Oryctolagus cuniculus: one gene and its partners. The protein of the gene in region 3 interacts with the protein of the main gene of each other region in a biochemical or structural test. Links are inferred from orthologs where the notes say so. Each region holds a gene or a part of one and is shown on either strand. Other genes may lie near its edges.

Region 1 (3,500 bases), on a different chromosome or scaffold from region 3:
GAAGCCCAGCCATTCTGGAAGCAAATGCAAATCCTATGAAATTAAATGTACCCATACCCTATGATCTAAAACACCCCAGTACCTGCCCAGAGAGACCATCCCTGGTATAGGGAAAACACGCACGGAGGTTGGCAGCAGCTTGGGTATTTTTCTCAAGAGAGCTCAGTGAGAGACGTGGAGTGTGTGCACGAGGGGACCCTGTGCAGCCCTCCAAAGCTATGACCCAATGCAGAGAGCACCATTGGCAGAAACCCACAGTGTGCTTCAAGGAAAAAGGAAACAATGAAAGGGAACAATATCACATTTGCAGATTTCTAAAAAGCATAGACAAAAAAATATACATTTTTGCACATGACATAGATACTGAAAAAGAAAAACGAGAGCAGGTAGCGTGGGGGAAGTGGTGACTTTACATTTTGTCCTTTCGAGGCAGCTGCCCCACTGGAACTAGGTAGGGCCAGGTGTTCAGAGGGCCAAGAGCTGAGCTGTATGGGCAGTTCAGTCTGGGCGGTAACCCTGCCCCGATGCCCCACCTGCACCCCAGCCCATCCACCATTACCTTGCGTGCCAGTCCCACTGAAGGCTACAGTTCCACCCCTACCTATCAGTCAGGAAAAGCCATGTTCTCAAGTCCTGCTCAGACAACCCTACCCTGCCTTCCTGTTTTCACTGGATGCCAGGTTTTAAGCAGCAGTCCTGGAATTTACTCAGTGCCCAGGTTGATTTCATTCCATTTATTAAACCCAGCAGCACTACTTGGGCTGTGGCCAGGATGAAGCCAAATGTATCTACTGACTGGAAGATGGAAAATTCAGCTGAACTCATGGAATTATTCGGACCCAGTTGTAATGCCAATGATAGCCAAACAGCGTCACAAGGCATTGCTCCTCTGAGTGAGAAGAGACTAATCCTTGGGGGCTTTATCTACTGCTACATCACATTTTGCAGGCTTCACACAAAAAGCTCAGTGATTGCACTTGAGACAAATACCTAAAGCCCAGGGGTCTAAACTTCCTGCCCACTGTGATGTTACTTGGAAGAAAATGTTCTCCCTTTATAGCTTTATAGTTACATCTTTCACACTTAGGTTCTTTTCTTTTTTTTGAGAGGCAGAGAGAGAGAGAGACAAAGTTCCCATCCAGTGTTTCATTCCCCAAATGCCCACAGTGGCAGAATAAGCTGGGGGCTGAAGCCCAGAGCCAGGAACTCAATCCATGTCTCCCATGTGGGTGGCAGGAATCCAATTACTTGAGCCATCACCACTACCTTCAGGAGCGCAACCAAAGCATGAAACAGGAACTGGGAGACTTAGCCAGGCATTGAACCCAGCTACTCTCATTTGGAATGGACACATTTTAACCAGCGTCCCATTCACTAAGCCAAACACCTGCCCTCATAATTAGGTTTTAATCCCAGCTGAAGGTACTTTTGAATATGACATGAACTAGGGACACAACATTTTTTTTTTTTTTACATCACATAGTGATCCAGTGTTTCAGTACTTGTTCATTTTAAAGGACGTGAAATGGACTAGCGGTTAAACCGCCAGGTGGTATGGTCACTGCCCATATCAGAGTGCCGGGGTTCAATTCTTGGCTCTGGTCCCTGATTCTAGCTTCTGTTCAGTGTGCATCCTGGGAGGCTGCCGATGATGGCTCAGATAGTCGGGTCCCATCTGCCTGAGAGATGGGACTGAGTTCCCAGGTCCCAGCTTCGGTCTGACCCAGCCTCAACTGCCGTGGGCACTTGGGGAGTGGATCAGCGTGTCATCTGTCTAACTCTGCCTCTCAAATAAAATAGATTTAAAAAAAAAAAAGAAGGGTGTCAAGGCTTTCAGACTGGACCATGACGATTTTGCAAGTTTTGTAACTAGCACAGGGCCCTGACCAGGCCTAAGTCCCCTGTCCCTGGGCTCTACTGAAGGAGTGACCAGGACGTGGCAGGCCCTGACCTGCACGGCTGTGCACTCACCGTGCCTTCAGGGTCCACAAGCAGCAGGTGCTTGGCCTGGCCGTTGTGCATGCCTGTGAGGACGAAGGAGCCGGAGTTGGTGGTGCTCTTCCTGACGAGGAAGTCTCCATCTTTCTCCAGCAGCCCTTCCGCCTCCTTCCTGCTCATCTCTCCTTGGTACCAAGGCTCGGCCTGCAGTGTCTCCAGCATCTTGGCATCCGGAGCTCGGGGTGAGACAGGACTGATGCACTCCACGGAGGCTGCCTTGTTCAACACAGGCCCTAAGGACTGATTCTTGAGAGCATCTTCAAAAGGTTCTGTCAACAACATTTGCCAGCAAAGTCAGTCCCGAGCAGGCCGAGTGATAAAAACACAATGTGAGAGACAGAAATGCAAAGGCAATTCTTCCATTAAACACTACAGGGGTGGGCATTGTGGTGCAGTGGGTTAGGCCATTGCTTGGGACATCTGCACCCCATTAGAATACTGGTTTGCGTCCTGGCTACTTTGCTTCCTATCCAGTTCCCTGTCAATGTGCCTGGGACACAGAAAATGATGGCTCAAGTACTTGAGTTCCTGCCATCCACGGGGGAGATTAGCATGGCGTTCCTGGCTCCTGGCTTCAGTCTGGCCCAGATCCAACTGCTGCCATTTGGGGAGTGAACAAGTGGATAGGTTTCTGTATCTCTCTCTCTCTCTCTCTCTCTCTCTCTCTCTGCTACTCTGTCTTTCAAATGGATAAATAAACCTTTAAAGAAAAAAAGTAAGGAAAATAAACGGCTGGTAACATGATAAGACTTGGCGTAACATGTATTTAGAAGCACAGCCCAAATTTTGTCGTGACTCTCTCTGATGAGTCTGCTTTTTTTCCCCAGACAGCCAGGAGGCGTGCATGGTGCCGAGGACTCAGGTTCCTTCTTGTCTAGCTTTGTAGAAAGACTTCGTTTTTGCGCACTGTAAGAGGCCATGTACACTGTGTCCCATCTACTCTCTCTGGAACATCAGCCAACCTCTCTAACAATTTCTGTATAAAAACCTGTCACTGCTACAGGACACAGTAAGCCACAAAGCTTTGATTCCATGCAAAACATAAACCAAACTCACCAAAGTTTCATTTCAAAATCTCTGCACCAAACATTCTGTAGTCACATGTATTGAGTGCCTCTTACGTGACTTGCTCTAGGCTAGAGCTCTGCCTCCCTTTGACCTTCACTCGCTCCCCTGTGGAAAAGTCTCTTGCATGAGTGCCTGAGACCAAGGTTGGCTTCATCCCCTTGGGAACACACTTCTCAGTGCAGAGCATCAGAAGGGTGAGACTGCTGCTCTACCAGTGGCAAAAGAAGCAGCTAGGCGTGTCTGATTAAATCCCTATGTTTGATATTCAAATAAGGATATGCTAAAAGCACCCTGGAAAATGTACAGTGCTTTGCAAGTGCCAGGGATTCTGAGGATTGCTTTGGACCACACTGCCTACCCTGGACAGCGTAAGCACCAGGAACGGTCTTCCCCTGGGCAGGACAGTTCCCGGGACGCAGTTCACATTCTGAATA
Region 2 (2,627 bases), on a different chromosome or scaffold from region 3:
GGGGGTCCCCGAGGGAGCCGCGCTGGGAGGGGACCCCGAGGCTGGGCCGGGCCAGGGAGGGTGCGCGCTAAGGCGACCTCCAGGGAGCGAGGACTTGGGGGGTCCCCGAGGGAGCCGCGCTGGGAGGGGACCCCGAGGCTGGGGGGGGGGGAAGGCCGGGGCGCGCGGGCCTACCCTTGGCCAGCTCCTCCTCGGCCGACCTCGTGCCCTGCTTCCGGCGGGGTTTCCCGAGCTTCGTGCAGATGGCGCCCTTGGTCCGGCTGTAGTGCTGCGGGGCGCGCGGCCGTGAGCGGGCGCGGTCGGGGCGCCCGGGCTGCGAGGTGGCCGGTTTCCATGGGAACGGGGAGAGGAGGCGGGGCGGAGCCCGGCTGGGGCGGGAGGCGGGACCGGGGCGTGTGGGGAGGCGGGACGTGGGCGGGGCCTTCGGGGGAGGACTCCTGGCCGGGGAGGCGGAGCCTGTAGGGGCGGGGCCTGTCCGGGGCAAGGCGCGCGGGGGAGGAGCCTTGCTGGGTGGGCGGGGCCTGGCCCGGGGGCGGGGCCCGGCGCGCACCTCCACCATGTCCATGAGGTTGCAGAAGCACGCGCTCTCGTCGATGGTGAGGCGGCCGTCGCGGTGCAGCACGCGGTAGTGGATGACGTCACGGCCGAAGCTCACGCACAGCACGTAGTCCCCGGGGTGCCGCGCCGACTCGCGCACCAGGAACAGCCCGTCCTCGGGCGGCTGCAGCTGCCGCACGGCCTCGGGCCCCGAGATCTTCCCGTGGAACCACCTGCGGCGGGGCGGGGTCAGAGCGGGCGGGGCGGGGCCGGCCGGGCTCGCCCCGCCCCCGCCCCGCCCCACTCACGGCATGAGGCTGAGCCTGGGGTCGGCGGACAGGGCCTCGCGCTCGCGCAGCGCGCCGGCCGCCAGCAGCCCCTCCTGGCCGCTGGCGTGGTGCTTGGCGCGGTACCAGCTCTTGCTCTGTGCGGGAGGCGGGAGGCGGGCGTGGGCGGGGTCCGGGCGGCGCGCCCCCGCCGCCGCGCACGCGCTTACCTCGCAGGCCTCCAGGATGGTGACCACGTCGCCCTTGCGGAAGGCCAGCTCCCCCGGCTTGGGCCGCGAGTGCTCGCACTTGGTGATGCACTGCGTGCCGGGGGCCCAGCGCCTCTGGCCAGGGCGGGACGCCGGGAGACGCGCGGGCAGGGGGACGGGCGCAAACCCGGGGCGGGGGGCGAGAGAGAACCGAGTCAGGACGGGAGCGAGGGGACCCCGGAGCTGGGGGCGGGGGGACGGCGCCGCCGGGTCCCGCACCCCCGTCCCCGGGCATGGCGTGGGCTGGGGCCGGGGGCACGAGGCCGGGCACTCACCGTGGGCATCCTGGCTGAGACGGGCAGCGAGGCCAGGCCAGGAGACGGGGGCTCACCTGGAGCGGGGTGGGCACGGGACAGAGCCGCGCTCTGGGGTCGGGAGTGCAGCCGCCCCGGCCGCCGCTCAGGGTCCAGAACCCCAAGACACACCCCACCCGGCCCGGAGGCGAGGGACTTGTACCCCCGGCAGGGTCACGGCCGTGACCTCACTCTGCCACGATCCCCCAGGGGACTCCGTGGCACCCAGGGCGGCGCAGGCTGCTGGCCAGGGAGCAGTGGCCGGGCCCAGGCCCGGCGCTTCCTCTTCTGTGAGTCGGGGGCGGATGAGTCAAGGTCATTCCCGCGAAGGTCTGACCCCGGGGTGCAGCGCGGCCCCGTGACCCCCACCCCATCCCCGGGCGCCCGCGCTGGGCGGCGACGCGCCCCCTCCCCCCACCGCCACAGGTGGCTGGGCACCCGGTGCCCAGGAAGAACCCACGCAAACCCAGCGGCTCGGGGGCGCCAGGGGCCGGCCACCGGTGCCAGGAGGGCGCGCACCGGGAACGCGCGCACCTGTGGGGCCCCCGCCCCGCCACGCCCCGCCACGCCCCGCTCTCGAACACCTGGGCGGTAGGCGCACGGGCGTCTCGGCCGCACGCAAGAGGCCCTCCCTCCACGTGGGCGCACGGGGCACGCCGGCGCCCCCTGCACCCAGCCCAGCCCGCGTCCGACCGCCGCCGGCCCCGCGCGCGCCCCCGCGAGCCGGGGTCCCCGGGACGCCGCTCCGCCCGCCTCCAGGTCCGCCGCCCCCTCCCCGGCCGCCGCGCTCACCTGCTCAGGGGACGCCCCCGGGCCGCGCCCCACGCCCGGCCCCAGGCGGGTCCCCGCGAGCCGGCAGCGCACCCCGAGGCGCTCCGGGCTGCACAACTTGGAGCAAGTCGCTCCGTTTCCTCATTTTGGGGCTGGGGGGGAGAGCCGGTCGGGGAGCAGGGGGGTGGTGGCGGGCGGCGCCCGGGAGGCCCCCGCGGGTCCTAGCGCCGGCCGCACTGCGGTCCGCTTCGCGCGCGCGCGCGCGCGCACCGCCGGCCCCTCCCCGCCCCGCCCCCGCGGTCCCCGGCTCCTCCTGCGGGGGCCGCGTGCGGGGGTCCGGCAGGCGCCGCCCGCTCGCGCGGGGTGGAGGGGCGAGCTGCCCGTCCGGAAAGGCCAACAAGTCCAGCCTTTTCAGTCCGGCCCATTGAAGAAATAAAATTCTCTTAAATTTACATGAGAGGCAGGGCGGGGCCACGCCCAGAGGGCCCCCA
Region 3 (4,275 bases):
CTCCACACCCTCCTGCCCTAAGTCCCCTATGATGCTGAGAGGGCCCAGGAGAAAGGCAGGCATGGGCTGGACAGGAAGGGAGAGGACTCCACAGCCGGGAGGGGACCTCAGGCCCCCCAGCTCAGCCCCATTTCCCCTAGCCAGGTTCGGAGGTCCACCCCAAAACAGAACAGCATCCCTATCCCTTTAGGCTAAGGTTTGGGTCAAGCCATTCCTGTTGTGTGGACTTTGACCAACTCTTAAGGCCTCTTCATTGGCTAAGGAGCCTTGGCCAAGTCCGTGGGTTCTCTGAACTTCAGTTTTCCACCTGTGCCCCTGTCTCAGGATTGTTAGAGACGGAACGGAGCCATCTGCACTTGAGCACCTGCCTACAGGAAGCGCACTGCAACTTCTTAAAAACTTGAGGCAAGGGTTTCATCCAGCAGGAGTACAGGTGATCCCAGTTCAGGAGAAAATGCGCATTGTATTTGACCTTGAAAGTCAATATATTTTTCTTTTTACATTTGAGCCTTTCTTTGCTATTGTTTTTTTTTTTTCTTGGACATGAAAATGAACACTTTTAGTAGAAAGAGGGAAGGAGGTTCTTGGGAAGATCACACTGGAATTAAAATATGAATGAACAGTGAAAAGGATGCGTTTGGTGCAATTTACAAATCTTGACCGCTGAAAAAGATCTCAGCAAAATCCTGGCCCCCTGGCCCTTGCCCCTGGGCCTCCCCTTCCAACATCCCTGCCCCAGCCCACAGCCCTGGGGTAGAACCTGGCTGCTGGGTGGGATGTGCCTGCCTCTGTAACCATTCCCCATGCAACACACTCAGTGTCTCTCTGTAACTCAGCGTGAGGACCTGAGGAGGCCCCGGTCAAGAGGAGTCTACCCCAGCAACGCAGCCGCCACCGCCTGCTCTGCTCCCAGGCAAGGAGAGGAGGGCGGCCCCTCGCCATGGGCAGAGGTGAAGTTGCACGCCCAGGGAAGGAGGGAGGGAGGACAGGGACCTCCCTCTGCAGCCACCCAGCAGGCATGGGGCCACCTCCTGCTATTTACAACAGATCTGGCCCAGCACCTTGAGGGCGTTCCTGGAGAGGGCAGAGTTCAGCCTGCGTCCCCAAGTCATCAGGGAGACTGATGTTTGGCAACACAAGGCCCAGACACACAAACACAGACCATAATTCAGGACCACCTGGCACAGCCCCAGACACACACTGACAGCTCGCAGACAATGCGGCAAGGCCCTGGCGAGGACCCGGGAGAGCACCACGGATGCACTGCCACCCACAGCTCCCCAGACTCCCTGAGTGCCAGGGGCCACCTCACCCTGCTCCCACAGCACCCTCACCCAGGGATGCAAGGGGCAGTGCCCCCCACCGGCTCAGGTGGACCCCAATCATCATTTTCAATGTGCGGCTAAGGCTTGTGCTGCCCTGGGCCGGCTGTGAGCCCCACCACAAGCCAGCAGCCGCCTCCCTCTTTGGGCCCCGTTTTTCACCTGCAACGTGGCCTTCTGTTAGGAAGACGAAAGGAGGGAATGCATGCAAAACACCACCCACGGGCCCAGCAGAGTGTACTGGGCACAGAGTGTGTGTTAGCTTTTATCCTGACTTCGTGCAGGCGGACAGCAGGGTCGGGATACACACCTCTCCACTCACCCTCCCCGTCCCCTCACAGCAGGAAGCAAAAAGACAGCAGAAGCACCCGGCCCCTGGGATACCCCCGTCTGGCCACAGCTGCCCCGATATGCCGCCCGTGGAACTCTCCAAACCAGGAAACCCACCCTCACCCCTCTCTGGTCCAGGCTCTCCACAAGTCACAAAGCCCGCAGGCCCTGTAGGAACTGGCTCAAAACAAACCAGGGCCCCTCCCCCTCGCCCAGACCCCAGCGCCAGGGACGCGTGCAGCTCGCCAGGCCACTCTCCCCGGCCCGCGGGGCAGGTTGCTCTGCCCACCTCCCCCTTCACCCCCGGCCCCGCCTGAAGCCGGTACTCAAACGCGGGCGGCTGGAGGGGGCGGGGAGGGGGGAGGGGCAGGGCAGAGAGGACCCCCCCCCAAGGAATCCAGCCCAGTCCAGTCCGGAGGCGGAGGCTGCCAACTGGAAAGGCTTTGAGAAGGCTGGCGGGGGCTCGGCGCGGGGAAACACGCTCGCGCGCGCGCGCGCGCACGCACACTCCCACACCCACCCCGCAATCCACCTCGGCGAAAACTTTGGGCGCAATCTCGGAGAACTTTTCTGACAAGTCCCCGGAGCCCGCTGGGAGTCCGGCAAGCGCCCGGGCCCTAGAAAGGGGCGATCTCGAGCCGCTTCGGTGGGGGTCGCCCCCAACCCCGCCTCCACCTTCTCTCGCCCCCTCCCGGCCCGAGCGCCCCGCGCCGGGAAAGCCCGAACTTAACGAAACTTCGGCGAGGAGGGCTCGTCGGGCTCCTCGGCCCCCGCCAGCCTGGGACTTCGGACCGGAGACCCAGGCTGCGGGGGGGGCCCTTCACTACCCCATCCCCTCCCCACGCCAGACCCACCTTGGGTGCCCGCGGTTCCGGGGGGCAAAAGGGCGAGGAGGAGCCCCCAGCGGTACCAGGCCGCCAGCTCCATGGTGCTCACTGCGGCTCCGGCCCCATGGCTCCGGCTGGACCAGGCTGGGAGTGCGCGGGGCTCGGCGAGGGGGTGGGGGCCGGGCGCGCGGCTGCCGGCGGGCACTCCTAGTCTCTCGGCTCGCGCTGGAGGGGAATCTCAGCTCCACAACTTCATTCTCGTACTTCCTCAAGCAATCCTACTCCTCCACCACCTCCTCCTCCTCCACCTCCTCCTCCTCCTCCTCCTCCTCCTCCTCCTCCTCCTCCTCCCGTGATTGGGAGCAGGCGCGCTCACGGCTCGCCCCCCCACCCCCGCCGCTGCATTCCAGCAAGTCTGGGAGTGGCAACTCCAGCTTCGCTTTCTCCCTCTCCCGGCGCAGGCCTGGGTGCGTCCGTGCCAGCGCCCGGACGCCGGGGTTGCCCGCAGCAGTCCTCACGCAGAGCCGGGCAGAGGGATCCCGCCGCCTGCCCCGGAGTGCGGGCGAATTCTCCAGGCTGCCACCCTCCGGTCTCTCCGAAGCCTCGGGTTAGATCTGCAACATTCCCGGGGAGTTTGCATCCTACCGCGTCCCGCGCCTGTTTGTTGTGGTATCGAATAATGGCTTGCCCGCCGGCGCACTCAAGTAAACCTGCCGGCCTGGGAGCGGGGATGAGCTGGGGTCCAGGTGCGGCCTCCAGGAGCCCTTTGGACAGCTCCTCGGCTGTTGTAGGGATCTGGTCCGGGCTGAGAAGCAAGACCTACACATTTGGGAGGGGACAGTGAAATCGGAGGCAGCAGGGCTTCAGTCCCTGGCCGAGCGTTCTTGTTTTCCGTAAGGCTACGCGCAGAACCCAATCCCTCCCAGGTTTGTTCCTCGCCTTTTCCCGCCTGCTGAGCGCCACCCCTCCACCCTGCATCCATCCCGCCTGAATTCCGGCCCCTACTCTTAAACCTCCGTGGTGGCAGTGCGCCTGGAAAGAAGACCGATTTTTGCTGAAAGACAAAATACGACATGGGACATTGTATCCTAACAAATTGCTCATTATTTATCTGAGATTCAGATTTACGGGGCACCCTTATTATTATTTGCTAAATCTGGCAATTCTGAATGCCCCCCCACTCCACCCCGGAGCCCAAGAGCACATCAGTACGGGTCAAGAGGAGTGAGACGCTGCTCTGGGGTCTGGAGAGAGAAGCAGACGGACGTTTCCTAACCTGCGTCGTGGGCTGAGCACTGAGAGAGGCAGGCTGGGAACAGCGGGCTCTGGAATCAGGGAGCCCTGTGTTCAAGTCGCGGCTCCATCACATATCAGCCACTCAGACGGCACTTGGCACATGAAGATTGCTCAGTACACACTTCCAGATTTACTCATAGTGGGAGAGATGTAGGTTTTGTGGGGTCTGGGGTTTATAAAATTTGAGAGACTCTCTTTAAAAAAGAGTTGGAGAGAGATGGCAGGACTCCCACATCAGAGTCCTGGCTGCACCATGCTTCCGATTCAGCTTCCTGCTAACGTGCCTGGGAAGCAGCTGATGATGGCTCAAGTGCTTGGGTTCCTATCACCCACACAGGAAACCTGAATGGAGTTCCAGTCTCCTGGCTTTGGACTGGCTCAACCCTGGCTGTTGTGGGCATTTGGGGAGTGAACCAACAGATGAAAAATAAACCTCTCTCTCTCAAATAAATAAATACATATTTTTTTTTAAAAGAAAGTGATGGAGAGGCCAACACTGT
Region 4 (3,500 bases), on a different chromosome or scaffold from region 3:
GCCAGCTTCAGGTTCACAAAACCCGGCCTCTGCCTCTGTGCTGTGTAGGCTGCCCCAGACTTGGGCGCTGTGGAGACTGGGATTTTCTGACGGGGGAAGGCGGCCGGCAGACTGGGGCTTGGGAGGCAGACGGAGGTCCTGCAGCCTGCACTGGCTAGCCGGCACGCCCCTGCCGGGGCAGCTCCCTTCCCAGTCTCCATGTGCTGGCTGTGACTTGGGGACGCTGACTGCGTGGTCTTGCTGTGTGTGCGTGCTAAATAAGATTCGTAGCAGTACCTGCCTCACAGCCCCCAAATGGAAACAACCCAATGTTGACCAACCTTCACACAGATAGGCTGGTTTGGGATTCTCACGCACTGGATTCTCAACAGCTCAACAGATGAAGGCATCTATTATGGGATGGACCGTGTCCCTAAAGTCTCACGTCCAAGTGCTAACCCCAGCAGCTGGAGACGTGACTATAGTGGGATTCTGGGTCTCTAGAGAGGTGATGAATTAACATGAGGCCTATGGGCAGGCGCTAATTCAATACCAGTGCTGCTCTCATGAGAAGAGATCAGGATGTGACAGGCACAGAGGGAAGGCTGTGTGAGCACTCCTGGAGAGACCAACCCTGCCCACACCTTGACCTTGGACTTGGACTTGGAGCCCCAGGGCAGGGGGATGGTGCATGCTGCTCTGTTATGGCTGTCCTAGCAAACGGATGCAGGCTCTCACAAGGTGGAGTGGAAAGAGCAAGACACATGGAAATGAAAATGGCACAATTCGCGAGCATAAACTCAATATGGACACAATGTGGGTGGTAAAACAAAACAAAACAAAAATCGAGGGAGGATTTGCATGCAAGCCAGGGCAGTGTTTGCTAACCTCCCAGGAGGCAGGGGACGACCACAACTGTACATCTGGAATGTTCTCTCTCAGCTGTGGTTACAGAGGGGCTTACTTTTCATCACACTGTATAATTTATAGTTATTTACTCATTGATGATTTACGTGGTGTTACACGTATTTTGTATTTCACAACAACAAACATGAAGAACGAAAGAGGAGCTGGCGCTCGGCAAGGTAGTTAAGCTGCTGGTTGGGCGCCCGTATCATCCGGTGTCAGAGTGCCTGGGGGCCAGGCCCAGCTCTGCTCCCTGTTCCAGCGGCCTGCTAATGCGCACTCTGGGAGGCAGCAGGTGATGGCTCAAGTACTTGGGTCTCTGCCACCCACAAAGCAGACCTGGTTTGAGTTCCTAGCTCCTGGCTGTGGTCCCAGCCCAGCCCTGGCTGTTGTAGGCATTTGGGGAGTGAACCAGTGATGGAAGCTTTGTCTGTCTCTTTCAAATAAATAAATAAATAAATAAACATCAAAAAAAAAAAAAAAAAAAAAAAAAAAAGGAAAGAAAGCTTAAGTCGGTAGAGGAAATGAGGGAAGCCCAGGGGTGGCAGCCATGTTTTGCTCAGTTACAGGATTCGACTTGGAGACCCAGTGTCATAATTCTGTTTTCCATAGTCACTGTCCCCTTCTAGGCACAGGCCAGCTCCCAGACCATGTCACCTGCCGGCTTCTGGCTGAGGGGCCTCTCAAGGATCATGGAGCTTGCCCATCTTTGGATTCCACATCCCAGCTGGGGATTGAGGGCTCTGGGGTCCATGCTGCCTCCACAGACCCCACTAGCCTCACTTTCCTGCTGACCGGGTTGCACGGTCAGGGTAGGGGGCGGGTCTCCCCCTGGCCTCTGCTGCCCGTTGTCTGGGTGGTGTCCAGCCTGGGGGAGCTGCTCGTGTGCACAGCCTCAAAGTCAGCTGCCCAGCAGGGCCGGAAGTGGGAGGGCTCGGAGGCTACAGGTTCTCTGAGCAGGGACCCTTCCCCACTCACCGCACACACTAGGTCTATGGGGGGGGGGGCTTCCCAGGGCCCCAGGGCAGGGGCCAGGAAGGCTTACCTTGACTGGTTTCGCTCTCTCTTATGAGGAAGGAGCCGGCCTTGTTGACTGGAGCTAGAAGCTGCCTCTCGGCCTCTTTCCGGCTGATTGACTTAAAGAACCACCTGAAAAACAGCAAGACAAGTGAGCCTCAGGGTCCCCTTGCTTGGCAAGTTTTTTTTTTTTATAAGATTTATTTAATTTTTTTTGAAAGTCAGAGACATCTTCCATCCGCTGGTTCACTCCCCAAATGGCTGCAATGGCCAAGACCCAGGAAGGTTGAAGCCAGGAGCCTCATCCTGGTCTCTTATGTGGGTGCAGCGGCCCAAGCGCTTGGGCCATCCTCCAGTACTTTCCCAGGCCATAGCAGGGAGCTGGATCAGCAGTGGAGCAGCTGGGACACGAACCGGTACCCATATGGGATGCCGGCAGCGCAGATGGCGTCACCCATGTCACCAATCCCCGTCCCTGGGAATATTTTTTTCCAGCTTCCCTCCTAAGCCATCCTTAGAGATGAGTTAGTCCTGAGCTGTTCTCCGTGTCTTGGAGCTTGCTCATCCCGTCTCGCTTCCCATCAGCTGCTGGACCGAAATGAAACCAGGACTTTATTTGGGTGGCCATTGTTTTGTTCAGGAAAAATGCACCCGATCCATCACTGTCCCCTACAGCACTGGCTCCGCAGGGTGGACACATGCCCACCCTTGGGGTCTGTGTCTGAAGGAGGCAGATGGCAGGAGACTCCCCAGCCTGGATTCCAGCTGTGCCCCTTCGGCACAGGACTGTCCAGCACCGAGACGCCCCAGGGCCCCACTAGCTGTTCTTCGGGGAAAGCCGCAGGCCAGAGCGCCCAGCCAGGCAGGGCAGGAGCAGCTGCGCGTTCCCCGCTACGGCCCCTTCCCCAGGCTTGGATGGAGCCCGCTGTGCGCGCATGCTCCAGGCATCGTGTGCGCATGCTCCAGGCATCGTGTGCGCATGCTCCAGGCATCGTGTGCGCATGCTCCAGGCATCGTGTGCGCATGCTCCAGGCATCGTGTGCGCATGCTCCAGGCGTTGTGCGCGCCATTCATGGGCAGGCCCCACTGACCGGCACAGATGGTTCTGGTGAATGTGGGCCATGGGGCTGCTGATGGAAGCTGTTTCGGAACAGGGCCCGAATCCTGGGAGCCCCCTGGGCGCTGAGCCCTAGAGGCCTGCCCCTGGAGGCAGTGGGGCCTGCCTGCTGGCCAGAGAGCCTCACCGTGAGCTTGCAGGGTCACGCTGGGCAGGCCTCCATCCCGGGATGCGAGAGAGGGAACCCTTGTCGTGTTTGATGAGGGGTGGGGGCGGTGTGGCTCCCTCTGTATCACACTGCGGGTTAAGTGCTGTGTGGACCAGGAGTTAACCCACTCCCGCCCCTTCTGGCTGGGCCCTGTGGTCACTGTTTAGCCAGCTTTCCGGCCCTGCCCTGCGTGGCAGCCTACAAAGCAGAAGCGGGAAAGGCACCTCCGGTTTGAGGGGGCTTCCGTTTGGCCACCTACTTTTCCACCTCCAGGGACTCGACTCCGGCCACAAAGTTGCTGGGCACGTAGCCTTCTTTCCCCGTGACGAGCGA
Region 5 (4,015 bases), on a different chromosome or scaffold from region 3:
CCTGGGTCCGTCTTGCCGCTGCAGGCATTTGGGGAATGAGCCGGCAGACGGAAGCCCTGTCTGTCTGTCTGTCTGTCTGTCTCTGTTCTAGACCTGAAGGAGTGCGGGGAGGTGAGGAGGAGGCAGCGTCGGAGACTGAGGAGCGGCAGGGACGGGGCGAGCAAAGAGGAGGAGCAGAGACCGGGTCTGGACACCCAGGCTTCTGAGGCAGGGAGGGAGCCCTCCCACCCTGGGACCTGCCACCACTGTGACCTTGACCTTGACAGGACCGGTTTTGAAGGCGTCCTGGGGGCTGCAGAGACAATGGCAGAGGAGTTGAGAGAGAAAAGGGCGGAAGCCAGGAGGGGATCCGAGGTGGAGGGCTTTGGGTTTTGTTGGTCGGTAGCCTGGTAAGAAGGGAAAATGAAGCCCTGGTGTTTGTTGAGGGGAGCACGGCACAGGGAGAGGGCTGCTGTGGGGGGGACGGCACAGGGAGAGGGCTGCTTTGGGGGGGGGGACGGCACAGAGGGAGAGGGCTGCTGTGGGGGGGACGGCACAGGGAGAGGGCTGCTGTGGGGGGGGACGGCACAGGGAGAGGGCTGCTGTGGGGGGGAGCACGGCACAGGGAGAGGGCTGCTGTGGGGGGGACGGCACAGGGAGAGGGCTGCTGTGGGGGGGGGACGGCACAGGGAGAGGGCTGCTGTGGGGGGGGGACGGCACAGGGAGAGGGCTGCTGTGGGGGGGAGCACGGCACAGGGAGAGGGCTGCTGTGGGGGGGACGGCACAGGGAGAGGGCTGCTGTGGGGGGGACGGCACAGAGGGAGAGGGCTGCTGTGGGGGGGGCACAGGGAGAGGGCTGCTGTGGGGGGGACGGCACAGAGGGAGAGGGCTGCTGTGGGGGGGGCACAGGGAGAGGGCTGCTGTGGGGGGGACGGCACAGGGAGAGGGCTGATGTGGGGGGGACGGCACAGGGAGAGGGCTGCTGTGGGGGGGACGGCACAGGGAGAGGGCTGCTGTGGGGGGGACGGCACAGGGAGAGGGCTGCTGTGGGGGGGACGGCACAGGGAGAGGGCTGCTGTGGGGGGGGACGGCGCAGAGAGAGGGCTGCTGTGGGGGGGGACGGCGCAGAGAGAGGGCTGCTGTGGGGGGGACGGCACAGGGAGAGGGCTGCTGTGGGGGGGACAGCACAGAGGGAGAGGGCTGCTGTGGGGGGGCACAGGGAGAGGGCTGCTGTGTTGGGGACGGCACAGGGAGAGGGCTGCTGTGGGGGGGAGCACGGCACAGAGAGAGGGCTGCTGTGGGGGGGACGGCACAGGGAGAGGGCTGCTGTGGGGGGGGCCTGCTCGGAGCCGCCCCTTCCAGGCAGCTGCAGGGAAGGCGGAGTCTGAGTATAGCTCCAGGAGGCGGGGTGTGGGGGCCAGGAGGGGCGGGGTCAGGCAGCCTCTCTTCTGGCACCGTCCATGGTCCCAGTGAGGTGTGGAGGGGCTGCAGGTTTGAGTCCAGAGAAGGTACGACGTGGCCAGGGGCGGATTCCAGGCAGCATCCGGGGCCCAGCCAAGGTCAGGTGGCCCCCGCATTGGCCCAGGGGTCAGCGCGGGGTCACCGGGAGCCCTGCTGCGCCGCTCTGGCTTTCTAACAAACCTCCGCTGTTCAGGCCACGGCCCGGCTGTGACACAAGACCAGATTTCTATCTAACCCTTGTGGTCAATTCTTGAGACAAAGGAGGCCCAATCTCAACTTCTCACTTCCTCTTTAGGAAGGGAATTCCCTTTGCTCTCCCCGACTTCTCTCTCCGGAGCCAGCAGGCTGCAGAGCCACACACCCACCTGGCACCAAGGGCCAGGCCGGGCTGGGATCCGTGCTCAGGAGGGAGAGCAGAGCCCTGGCCAACAGCGCCCCCGTGGGAAATCCCAGAAACCCTGGGCCGGCTCTCATCACAGATTCTAGCTGACAAACTCACTTTGTCAGAACTTAAAATAGGCTACACAGCCACGTGGCATGGAAGCCAACAGATGCAGATCTCCCTCCCAGCCCGGCCTTCTGGAAGCTCTGGAGGGAGCGCCAGAGGCAGCCCTTGGTGGCGGCACCTCTGCCCGCCCGGGAGAGGGAAGGGAGTGTGTGTGGGCAGGCCCGGCCGACTTACTCGGGAAATCGGATGTCTATGAAGTTCTTGGGCACGTAGCCTTCCTGGCTCCCCAGCTCCGCCTTGAACCACTCCTCTTGGTTGCTGAGTACCTACAGGCAGGGAGAGGACACAGGACAAAGACACTGCAGTGAGGACCCCAGAACAGCCAGACAGAGGGGCCGAGCCCAGAGCACCCTTTGCCAGGTGGAGGGAAAGGAGCTACCAGCAGCTCTGGGAAGCTCCCGAGGCCCGCGGAGGCAGCGGTGGGTCTGTGTCTGCAGATTCGCTTCTCTGGACCCCGAGTTATTGCTGCAGACTCGTGCCTCCCACCCCCACCCCCCCTTTTCCCCGTGTGTTTTGGGAAACTCCTTTGTCTGGGATCTTCAGCGCCTGGGCGGAGGGTGGCAAGGCAAACAGCCGCTCCATTGTTGCTCTTCTTCTTTTCCAGGTAGCCAGGAAACATTTAAAAACCGAACTGGTTTTTATTTTTTAGACGTAAACACCGGAATGGGGCCAGCTTCGGAAGCACGAGTTCTACCCGGCTGGTTTCACGGAACGATTTTTGGGGCAGAATTCAGGACCGTCGAGATGCCCTTCCTGAGCCTGCTCTGCGAGCCTGCGCCCAGCAAAAGCGAGAGTTCTGTCTCGCGGCTATCCGGCCGCCCCACGAGCGATCCCTGCCTTCGTGGCTGTACTACCCACTAGGCTTGCTTCTGCGTGGCTCCCGGTTACTTCAGAAAACGAGCTCGCGGCGGGAAGAGACGGTGCCGCGCCCACGGGAGCATCTGAAGCGCGCGACATCGCCGTGCACAGCTCCCGGCGAGGCCGACGGAGCAGAAGCCGGCAAGACCCTCGCGGCGCCCCTGAACGGACCACCCGGAGCCCGCCTGCTCCTGCACGCGGGAGGAACCGTCCATCTCCGTCACGATTAAGCCACCCTGAGCGTCTGTTTCCCGTGGCAGAAATGTCGTCACGGCTAGGAGCCCTGTGATAAAGGAGGTGCCGGAAGACGGATAGGAAAGCCGGGAGCAGCGGCCACCTGCCCGGGGGCGGCGGCGCCAGAAATCACTCGGGGAAAGGCAGGTGGCCGAGGATCCACTTCCGGGTCACGAGGGGCGTGGTGCATCCTGGGAACGGAACACGCAGGCCGGCTGGGGTTGGGGGTGGGAATCCAGGAATGGCGGTCTGTGGGCCGTGTTGGAGAGCCTGGAGTCTTACCCTGAAACTTACGGGCCCACTCAGGGGTGCTGGGCAGAGAAAGGACGGGGGGAGCCTCAGAGGGAAGCGGGAGCCGCGTGTGAGTCGGGACACAGGGCCAGGAGGCCGCGTGTTGCCCTCCAGGCGAGAGAGGACAGCGGCCGGGGCCCGGGAGGGGCGAGGACACATTTCTGAGGCAGGAATCGAGACCGGCAGCGTTTGGGGACATTCCCGGGGGGCAGAGGGAGAAGGGGGCTCTGGGGCGGCGCCGGCTTGCAGCCTGGGAGACTGCGCAGGGGGCGATGGCTTCTCTCGGAGAGAAAGCGCAGGAGGAGGAGGAGCGGCGAGCTGCTGGGGTGCCCGGCCTCCCAGAGGGGCGGCGTTGATGTCGGAGTCCCGGGGAAGCCGCGCACGCAGCGTCCCCCGGCCTGGCTGTGCCGCGAGCTGTGTGATCCCGGGCCAGTCCATCAGCCCTCCCGGGGCCTCGCGCAGCCCGCGTGGACATCAGGAGAGCACGCGGCTCCTCTTTGAGAAGACGCCCCTGCCCTCCCGCTCCGCAGGCCCCGGCGGGGCCCACGAGTCCTGTGCCGCCTTCTGCGTGTGTGTGCCGAGCGCCACCGTGGGTTCTGAAGAACTGAAAGTGCGGCCCACATCTGAGCTTGAGAACTGCTGAGAACAGCCCGCTTCAGAGATTCTGACATCAAATGCGACCGT
Region 6 (4,112 bases), on a different chromosome or scaffold from region 3:
AACCTCTGCTAAATGATCCAGCCATTCCACTTGCGGGCACACGTCCGTATGAACACCTGTGTGTGAGAATTCTAAGACTCTTATTTGTGACAGCCAAACAGTCAAGTGTCCATCAACAGGAGAGTGGATAAGCAAACTGCAGTGTATCCACACAACGGGACACTCTACAACTAAGCAATAAAAATTCTGGAACTATGGGACACACTGTAACATGGACGAATCTCAGCATACCTGTCTGAGGGTGAGAAGCCACACCAAAGAGGAGGACACACGAAGGACATTTATATAAAATCCTAGGAGATGCACACTCGCACACAGTGACAGGAAGCAGAACAGTGACTGCCTAAGACCTAAGAAGGGATTATAAAGAGCACAAGGAAACCTCACAGGGGTTATGGATACGTCCATTATCTTGACGTGGTGATGACGTCCCAAGTGGATACACACATCAATAGTTTGGGAAGACACACTTAACAATATGTAATTTATCTCACATCATGGATGCCTCAATAAAGCTGGTTAAAAATCCAAAACTTGACTCACAATCTAAAAAGCAACAATTTCCAACTAAGTGTGTTTTGTTCAGACCCTGACTTTTAGGTGGCGCCCACTTCTTTTCTACAATAGCAAGTCAGAAATACCAGGGCCAGAAGGCAGAAGGAATCACTCTGTTTCAAACCGCCACCTTGGGAGTGTGTTTGGCACAGTGAGTAAGATGCCTGCATCCCATGCTGGAGAACCTGGGTTCGAATTCCGGCTCTGCCTCTGATCCCAGCTTCCTGCTAGTGTGCATCCCGGGAGGCAGTGGATGGTGGTTCAAGTGCTTGAGTCCTGTGGTGACCTGGAACGAGTTCTGGACTCCCGACTTGGGGTCAGTCAGCCCTGCTATCGTGGGCATTTGGGGAGTAAACCCAAGGATGGAAAACCCATCTCTCTCTAGCTCACTCTTCCTTTCACTCATTTAAAAAAAAAAATGTCAAATGTCACTTCAACCGTTTGCTGCTTTGGCAATGCCCACACTTCCCCGTTTCTAAACTAACAAGCAGCACAATGCAGGGTCTACTGGGACTCAGCCCCTTTCCCTGCCCCAGCCCCCAAGTCTTTCTGTCCCCCAACGCAGCAGATCCTTACTTGTCTGAAAGAGCAGACACAAGGAACAAAAGGCTCAATGACTACCTGACAGATCAGAGAACAGACAACTGTTTCATGTGGGAGCTCCCTAAAGAAGTGGAACGTTTGGGGCCGCACACTGTTCTGCAGCATGCAGTTAGACACCCCCGGTCTGGGAGCACCTGCCGACAGACCTGTCCCCCTCACTCACTCACTCACTCACGAGTTTCACTTTTCCGTTTCCTGCCCTCTTTTGCTCCAGGTCCGTGCACGAATGGCATGCATGCAGGTGTGTGCGTCTCGAGCAGACATTCCTAATATTCCGAAAGCATCTCTCGTTCAAACAGCCCCGACCCCCTGAAAGCGCTTCTCCAATGCCTGGGACGGTGACCCTCGCAGAACAACCACGGGCAAGCACAGACAAAGGTCTTATGTGTGAGTCCCAAGCAACGAGCAGTGATGCAGAATAGCAGCCTCATTATCTGAGAACCACGGGTCACGCTACTGTTTAACAGCAAAAACGACCCGTGACGGTTATAAAATAATAGCAACTCGGCGATCCGCACTGGACTCGGGCTCCACCATTTACTGAGCGGTGGGAGGCAACGCAGATTTCTGCTTTTTTACAGCGGGGGTAGCTGGACCGACCTCAGCGGACTGCTGGAGTTCAAAAGGCTGCGTCTGGACTCAAAGCGAGTCAACGTTAGTTCGTGCAAACTCCCCCTTCCTGCTGACCCGCACGCTCCTGCGGGGCCTCGGTTTTCACATCCGTGAAATGGGTCCTGGTTTTCCAGGTTGTAGCGAGATCCAGCTCCCTTCCCGCCCATCTCCCAGAGCGAGGATCGCAGAGGAAGGAAATACTCGTAGCGGCTGCACACACAGTCAGTTTTTCCACTTCTGGCACGTGAGGGGCGGAGGGGGGGAGAAGGCGATGCAAAGGGGCACATGCAAGGGTCAGGGGTCCTGAGTGGAGCCCCCCACCCCACCCCGAGGCGCGCGAGTGGCGGCGCGGCCCCGGGGCGGCGAGTGCCCAGCGGCGCCCGGGGCCCCAGGAGCCTCCCCCGGAGAGCGGGGTTATTTCGGAATCACCATGAGGCAATTCTCATGAGGCAATGGGTCAGGAATGCGGCGCCGAGCCGGGCCGCTGGCGGCCGCGGCTCTCCGGGCGCCTCTACCTGCTCCCGGCCGGACGGGCATCCCCGGGCCGCTGGAGCCGGAACTCGGGGAGGCAGGAAATGAATGGGGACCCGAGGGTGGGGGTGCGCTGGGGCCCCGGGCTGGGGGCGGCGAGGGGGTCCGGAGCCACCCTGCCCTCCCCGTCCCCCTCGCCCGGGACCGGGGTCCGAGGCCCGGCCGGGACGCCCCCCTCCCGGGCGCGGCTGGGCGGAGGCGGCGGGGGCCCGGCCCAGGCCCGCGCCGGGGCCCCTCGGGGCTCCTCACCTCCGCGATGTCATGTTCCTCCCGCCCTCCGGCTCCGCGACGGACCCGCTCCTTGCTCAGGCTCCGCAGGGCCCGGTCACATCGGGCTGGCCCGAGGGAGGCCCGCTCGGGACCGGACGTGGGGCAGAGCCAGCCGGCCGCGCGCAGACCCCCCTCCAGGCCTGGGGGATCCCGGACACTGTGCAGCCGCCCCCCAAGCCCGGCTGGCTCCGCCTCCTCCCCCGCCCTTCGCCGCCGGCGCCTCGGTGACGTCATCCGTGCGACGCCCGCCGCCACTTCCTGCTTCCCGTCGGCTGCGAGCGAGAGGCGGTCGCTGACTGCGTCTCGGGGCTCGCGGGAGCCGCCACCGCGCGCGTTCGCAATCGCGCCCGCCCACGCCGTGTCAGTTTCCGTCGCCGCATAGACGCCGAGCCGAGTTCTGTTCGTCTCCCTCCCCGCGTCGCCGCCCCTCTCGTTGGCTCTGCAAGCTGCAAAAGCTACGTGGTCTCTCCGAGCTCCAGCGTCCCCCCATGCCTTCGTTTGCGTGAAGAAGGGCTATGCGTTCTTCATGGCGTTACCGTGAAGATTCACCGTGGAAAACAGGCAGGCGTGCGCCCGTCTGGCGGCACAAGCTGCGTTGCAGTCGTTTCTGATGAGTGTTTTCCGTCTGCTGAGCCCTGGTTTAAACCGTGGCTTCGTGAACCAAAAGTCCGAAAAGCCCTGATCTGGAAACAGTCAACAATGCAGAGGAATTCTGGTGTGCGTGCTAGGTTATAAAGACGTCTGTGTGCTGTTTGTAAACGCGGAAGGCCGCGTGGAGCTCAACTCCACGACCCCCAGGGTGCCCGAACCACACTCTGCGCGTGTACATACATGATGAAGTTTCATGTGTTTAACCACAATAAAAAAAAGTTAATGAACGTAAGCTGTTGTGTGAGCGCAGCGCTTTTTGGTACAACACAGTGCCATCAATCAGAAGGCATTTTCTTTTTTTTCTGAGATATTTATTTATTTATTATTTGAAAGGCAGAGTGACAGAGAAATCTATCTGCCAGTTCACTCCCCCTCACCCCGCCCAATACCTGCGACAGCCATGGGGAAGCCAGGCGCCCGGAGCTCCCTGGGGGTCCCTCACGGGGGTGGCAGAACCCCACCTCCCCAGCCATCCTCCCCTGCTTTCCCAGGCGCATTAGCAGGGAGCCGGATTGGCCGCAGAGCAGAAGCATCGCAAGCAGCGGCCCCAGAAGACACTTTGTGTTCAAGCCGATCACCCGCACATTGGGTGCTTTTTCTTAGCACTTGTGCTACGTGGCCATACCACCTTCTGCAGTTAGAGGAGTGACAGCAAAACTACAATGAATTCCGTTTTCCTTCTTCACTGTTAGATCTTAGCAACCTCAGCCTACAAGTTCTGTGTTTTTGGTTTTGTTTTCTCATTTATCTGAAAGGCAGAGAGGCAGATCTTGTCCCCGCTGGTTCACTCCCCAAATGCCTGCAACAGCCAGGCCTACTTCAATCCTGGTCTCCCACGTGGGGGATGGGGACCCAAGCTGCTGCCTCCCAGGGTGTGCATTAGCGGGAAG
Region 7 (3,174 bases), on a different chromosome or scaffold from region 3:
TGCTGGTCCTACAGCACTGGCCACGGCTGGCGGCGCAACACTGCTCCCCCCACCCCGGACACCTGCCATCGCCACTGCCCACCAAGCAGAAGTCCCTCCGCGTCCTGCTTCCAGCGGGGACCACTGTGGTTTGGACACGCCCCTCAGAGCCAGCGTGCACCCAGCCTCACCGCCCAGCCCCGGGGCTCCCTCCCCTTACGCCAGCGTCCCCAGGCCTGGCAACAGTCAGAAATCTTGGGGTCGGGTGACACGGATGGGGGCTTCCAGCAGCATGGGGGACCCTAGGGGGCAGTCCTGAGGGACCCCAGCCCCCGCCACATCCAGCAGCAGTGTGGGGTTGCTGGGTCGCTGGGACTGAGTCACTTTGGGTATAGGAAGGCAGGCCCCATCCACCAGATGGACCTCCACCATCAGACTAGTCTCTTCCCGGAGGCGTGGGCCAGGCCGCCCTCATCAGACTGGGGAAACCAGAGATGGGGAGCCACGCCTCCCCAACAGACAGGGCGGGGGTCCAAGCCAGGTTTGGGCACCCCCAGTCTGGGGCCCATGCACCGTGAAACACCATGGGAGCGTGCCACAGCCTCTCCCACCCGACTGCAGACTCCCACAGAAGATCCCAGAGTTCCTCTGTGGGAGCCCACCAGGCCTCCCCCGTCAGACAGGGCCCCCCAGGCCCCACGTACGCATGTCGAACAGGTCCTTCTTGGGGCTGTCCTCGGCTGGGTCCTCAGGCTCTGCGCTGTCCAGCCCCTGGGTGTTGACGTACAGGTGCTCCTCATAGTCCCGCGGCCCCTGGGCGTCCGCCTGCACGTAGCCGTCCCCCGGCGGCGCTGGCGAGGGAGGGGAGTGCTGAGGTCAGCGGGGATGCGGGAGGGGCTCTGGACGGGGGGAGGCCGCCCCATCCGCTCGCAAAGGCCCAGGCACAGTGGGCTGGAAAGCCGCACAGGGGCCTGAAGTGACCGGAGAGGCCCAGGTGCCGGGGGGCCCTGCGCTCCTGTGGTCCGCCACTCCTGCCTGACTCCCCCACGTTCTCTCTGCCGTCTGCGGGCGTGGGGCCAAGGCGCAGCTGCATGGCCGGTCTCCCTGACCCCTGACTGCCGTGGGGTTGCAGGAAGAAGGGGTGCATGGGTGGGGCCTTCACCTATACAGCTCACGTGTGACCACTGCCGTGTCCCCAGCACACGTGTGACCGCTGCCGTGTCCCCAGCACACGTGTGACCTGGCTGCTGTGTCCCCAGCACACGTGTGGCCTGGCTGCCGTGTCCCCAGCTCACGTGTGACCACTGCCGTGTCCCCAGCACATGTGTGACTGCTGCCGTGTCCCCAGCACACGTGTGGCCTGGCTGCCGTGTCCCCAGCTCACGTGTGACCTGGCTGCCGTGTCCCCAGCACACGTGTCACCTGGCTGCCGTGTCCCCAGCACACGTGTCACCTGGCTGCCGTGTCCCCAGCTCACGTGTGACCACTGCCGTGTCCCCAGCACACGTGTAACCGCTGCCGTGTCCCCAGCACACGTGTGACCTGGCTGCCGTGTCCCCAGCACACGTGTGACCTGGCTGCCGTGTCCCCAGCTCACGTGGGACCACTGCCGTGTCCCCAGCACACATGTGACCGCTGCCGTGTCCCCAGCACACGTGTTACCTGGCTGCCGTGTCCCCAACACACGTGTTACCTGGCTGCCGTGTCCCCAGCTCACGTGTGACCGCTGCCGTGTCCCCAGCACACGTGTCACCTGGCTGCCGTGTCCCCAGCTCACGTGTGACCGCTGCCGTGTCCCCAGCTCACGTGTGACCGCTGCCGTGTCCCCAGCACACGTGTGGCCTGGCTTCCGTCCATGCATGTTCTGGGAGCTCCCCGACCAGGGAGGGGGGCGGGAGCAGTGAGCGACTTCCTGTGAGGCCTCCACCCTCCTGGGTGCCTGGAGCCATTTGACACAGGGACCCCAAGGGACCTGGGGGCTCAGATAGGAGCAGGGCGCCAAGCTGGGCTGAGGGGCCCCTGGCGGCCTTGGGGGTGTGCGGGTTCACCCAGTCCTACCTGCGCCGCAGGGCCAAAGGTCCCACTGCAGGCCACGGGCCTCCCTCCGGGCAAGAGAGGACGTTCCCTGAGAGAGAAGCATGGGGCCCCTCACCACCCACACACCCTGCCCAGCACCCAGCCTCCCTCCTCCCAGGGACACTGGGGGTCTCCGCCCTAGACCCTCCCTGGGCACCCAGAGCCCACCGGGGTCTGCATGGTGCCCACCACCCACCCTTCACCAGCCTTCTCCCCATGCAAGGGCAGCCCAGCCCTCCTGCCAAGCCCACCCTGGCCCCTCTGTCCACCATGCTGGTCACTCTGTCTGCCACCTGGCCCTCTGTTGTGCTGGCCCCACTGTCCACCACCCTGGCCCCTCTGCCCACCACCCTGGCCCCACTGCCCACCACCCTGGCCCCTCTGCCCACCACCCTGGCCCTCTGCTGTGCTGGCCCCTCTTCCCACCATCCTGGCCCCTCTGTCCACCACCCTGGCCCCGCTGCCCACCACGCTGGCCCCGCTGCCCACCACCCTGGCCCCACTGTCCACCACCCTGGCCCCACTGCCCACCACCCTGGCCCCTCTGCCCACCACCCTGGCCCTCTGCTGTGCTGGCCCCTCTTCCCACCATCCTGGCCCCTCTGTCCACCACCCTGGCCCCGCTGCCCACCACGCTGGCCCCGCTGCCCACCACCCTGGCCCCACTGTCCACCACCCTGGCCCCACTGTCCACCACCCTGGCCCCTCTGCCCACCACCCTGGCCCCTCTGTCCACCACCCTGGCCCCTCTGTCCACCACCCTGGCCCCGCTGCCCACCACCCTGGCCCCTCTGCCCACCACCCTGGCCCCGCTGCCCACCACCCTGGCCCTTCTGCCCACCACCCTGGCCCCGCTGCCCACCACCCTGGCCCCTCTGCCCACCACCCTGGCCCCGCTGCCCACCAGCCTGGCCCTTCTGTCCACCACCCTGGCCCCTCTGCCCACCACCCTGGCCCTCTGCCCACCACCCTGGCCCTGCTGTCCACCACCCTGGCCCCTCTGCCCACCACCCTGGCCCCTCTACCCACCACCCTGGCCCCGCTGCCCACCACCCTGGCCCTTCTGTCCACCACCCTGGCCCCGCTGCCCACCACCCTGGCCCCTCTGCCCACCACCCT

The links.
Region 1: the proteins of ERBB2 (region 3) and SHC3 form a complex in vitro, tested with the Homo sapiens proteins (2 studies listed by BioGRID and IntAct, with this or other methods). The link is inferred for Oryctolagus cuniculus from reciprocal best matches to the Homo sapiens genes ERBB2 and SHC3.
Region 2: the proteins of ERBB2 (region 3) and MATK form a complex in vitro, tested with the Homo sapiens proteins (2 studies listed by BioGRID and IntAct, with this or other methods). The link is inferred for Oryctolagus cuniculus from reciprocal best matches to the Homo sapiens genes ERBB2 and MATK.
Region 4: the proteins of ERBB2 (region 3) and BLK form a complex in vitro, tested with the Homo sapiens proteins (2 studies listed by BioGRID and IntAct, with this or other methods). The link is inferred for Oryctolagus cuniculus from reciprocal best matches to the Homo sapiens genes ERBB2 and BLK.
Region 5: the proteins of ERBB2 (region 3) and GRAP2 form a complex in vitro, tested with the Homo sapiens proteins (2 studies listed by BioGRID and IntAct, with this or other methods). The link is inferred for Oryctolagus cuniculus from reciprocal best matches to the Homo sapiens genes ERBB2 and GRAP2.
Region 6: the proteins of ERBB2 (region 3) and PTPN11 form a complex in vitro, tested with the Homo sapiens proteins (2 studies listed by BioGRID and IntAct, with this or other methods). The link is inferred for Oryctolagus cuniculus from reciprocal best matches to the Homo sapiens genes ERBB2 and PTPN11.
Region 7: the proteins of ERBB2 (region 3) and SHC2 form a complex in vitro, tested with the Homo sapiens proteins (2 studies listed by BioGRID and IntAct, with this or other methods). The link is inferred for Oryctolagus cuniculus from reciprocal best matches to the Homo sapiens genes ERBB2 and SHC2.

What each region holds. Positions count from the first base shown.
Region 1 is NC_091432.1:137,843,197-137,846,696, forward strand, and holds part of SHC3 (SHC-transforming protein 3), read right to left. Parts: intron 2,268-3,500; coding exon 1,972-2,267; intron 1-1,971. UniProt on the Homo sapiens protein: Signaling adapter that couples activated growth factor receptors to signaling pathway in neurons. Involved in the signal transduction pathways of neurotrophin-activated Trk receptors in cortical neurons.
Region 2 is NC_091447.1:59,381,878-59,384,504, reverse strand, and holds part of MATK (megakaryocyte-associated tyrosine-protein kinase), read right to left. Parts: intron 2,369-2,627; exon of another isoform or gene 2,158-2,368; intron 1,404-2,157; 5' UTR 1,357-1,403; coding exon 1,348-1,356; intron 1,148-1,347; coding exon 846-1,147; intron 771-845; coding exon 551-770; intron 269-550; coding exon 175-268; intron 1-174.
Region 3 is NC_091448.1:22,692,087-22,696,361, forward strand, and holds the start of ERBB2 (receptor tyrosine-protein kinase erbB-2), read right to left. Parts: upstream 2,801-4,275; 5' UTR 2,580-2,800; coding exon 2,507-2,579; intron 1-2,506. UniProt on the Homo sapiens protein: Protein tyrosine kinase that is part of several cell surface receptor complexes, but that apparently needs a coreceptor for ligand binding. Essential component of a neuregulin-receptor complex, although neuregulins do not interact with it alone.
Region 4 is NC_091433.1:42,975,853-42,979,352, forward strand, and holds part of BLK (tyrosine-protein kinase Blk), read right to left. Parts: coding exon 3,427-3,500; intron 2,035-3,426; coding exon 1,931-2,034; intron 1-1,930. UniProt on the Homo sapiens protein: Non-receptor tyrosine kinase involved in B-lymphocyte development, differentiation and signaling. B-cell receptor (BCR) signaling requires a tight regulation of several protein tyrosine kinases and phosphatases, and associated coreceptors.
Region 5 is NC_091442.1:116,101,251-116,105,265, reverse strand, and holds the start of GRAP2 (GRB2-related adapter protein 2), read right to left. Parts: upstream 2,801-4,015; 5' UTR 2,568-2,800; coding exon 2,328-2,567; intron 2,215-2,327; coding exon 2,123-2,214; intron 1-2,122. UniProt on the Homo sapiens protein: Interacts with SLP-76 to regulate NF-AT activation. Binds to tyrosine-phosphorylated shc.
Region 6 is NC_091452.1:9,714,961-9,719,072, reverse strand, and holds the start of PTPN11 (tyrosine-protein phosphatase non-receptor type 11), read right to left. Parts: upstream 2,801-4,112; 5' UTR 2,565-2,800; coding exon 2,551-2,564; intron 1-2,550. UniProt on the Homo sapiens protein: Acts downstream of various receptor and cytoplasmic protein tyrosine kinases to participate in the signal transduction from the cell surface to the nucleus. Positively regulates MAPK signal transduction pathway. Dephosphorylates GAB1, ARHGAP35 and EGFR.
Region 7 is NC_091447.1:58,293,981-58,297,154, forward strand, and holds part of SHC2 (SHC-transforming protein 2), read right to left. Parts: intron 2,105-3,174; coding exon 2,038-2,104; intron 831-2,037; coding exon 684-830; intron 1-683. UniProt on the Homo sapiens protein: Signaling adapter that couples activated growth factor receptors to signaling pathway in neurons. Involved in the signal transduction pathways of neurotrophin-activated Trk receptors in cortical neurons.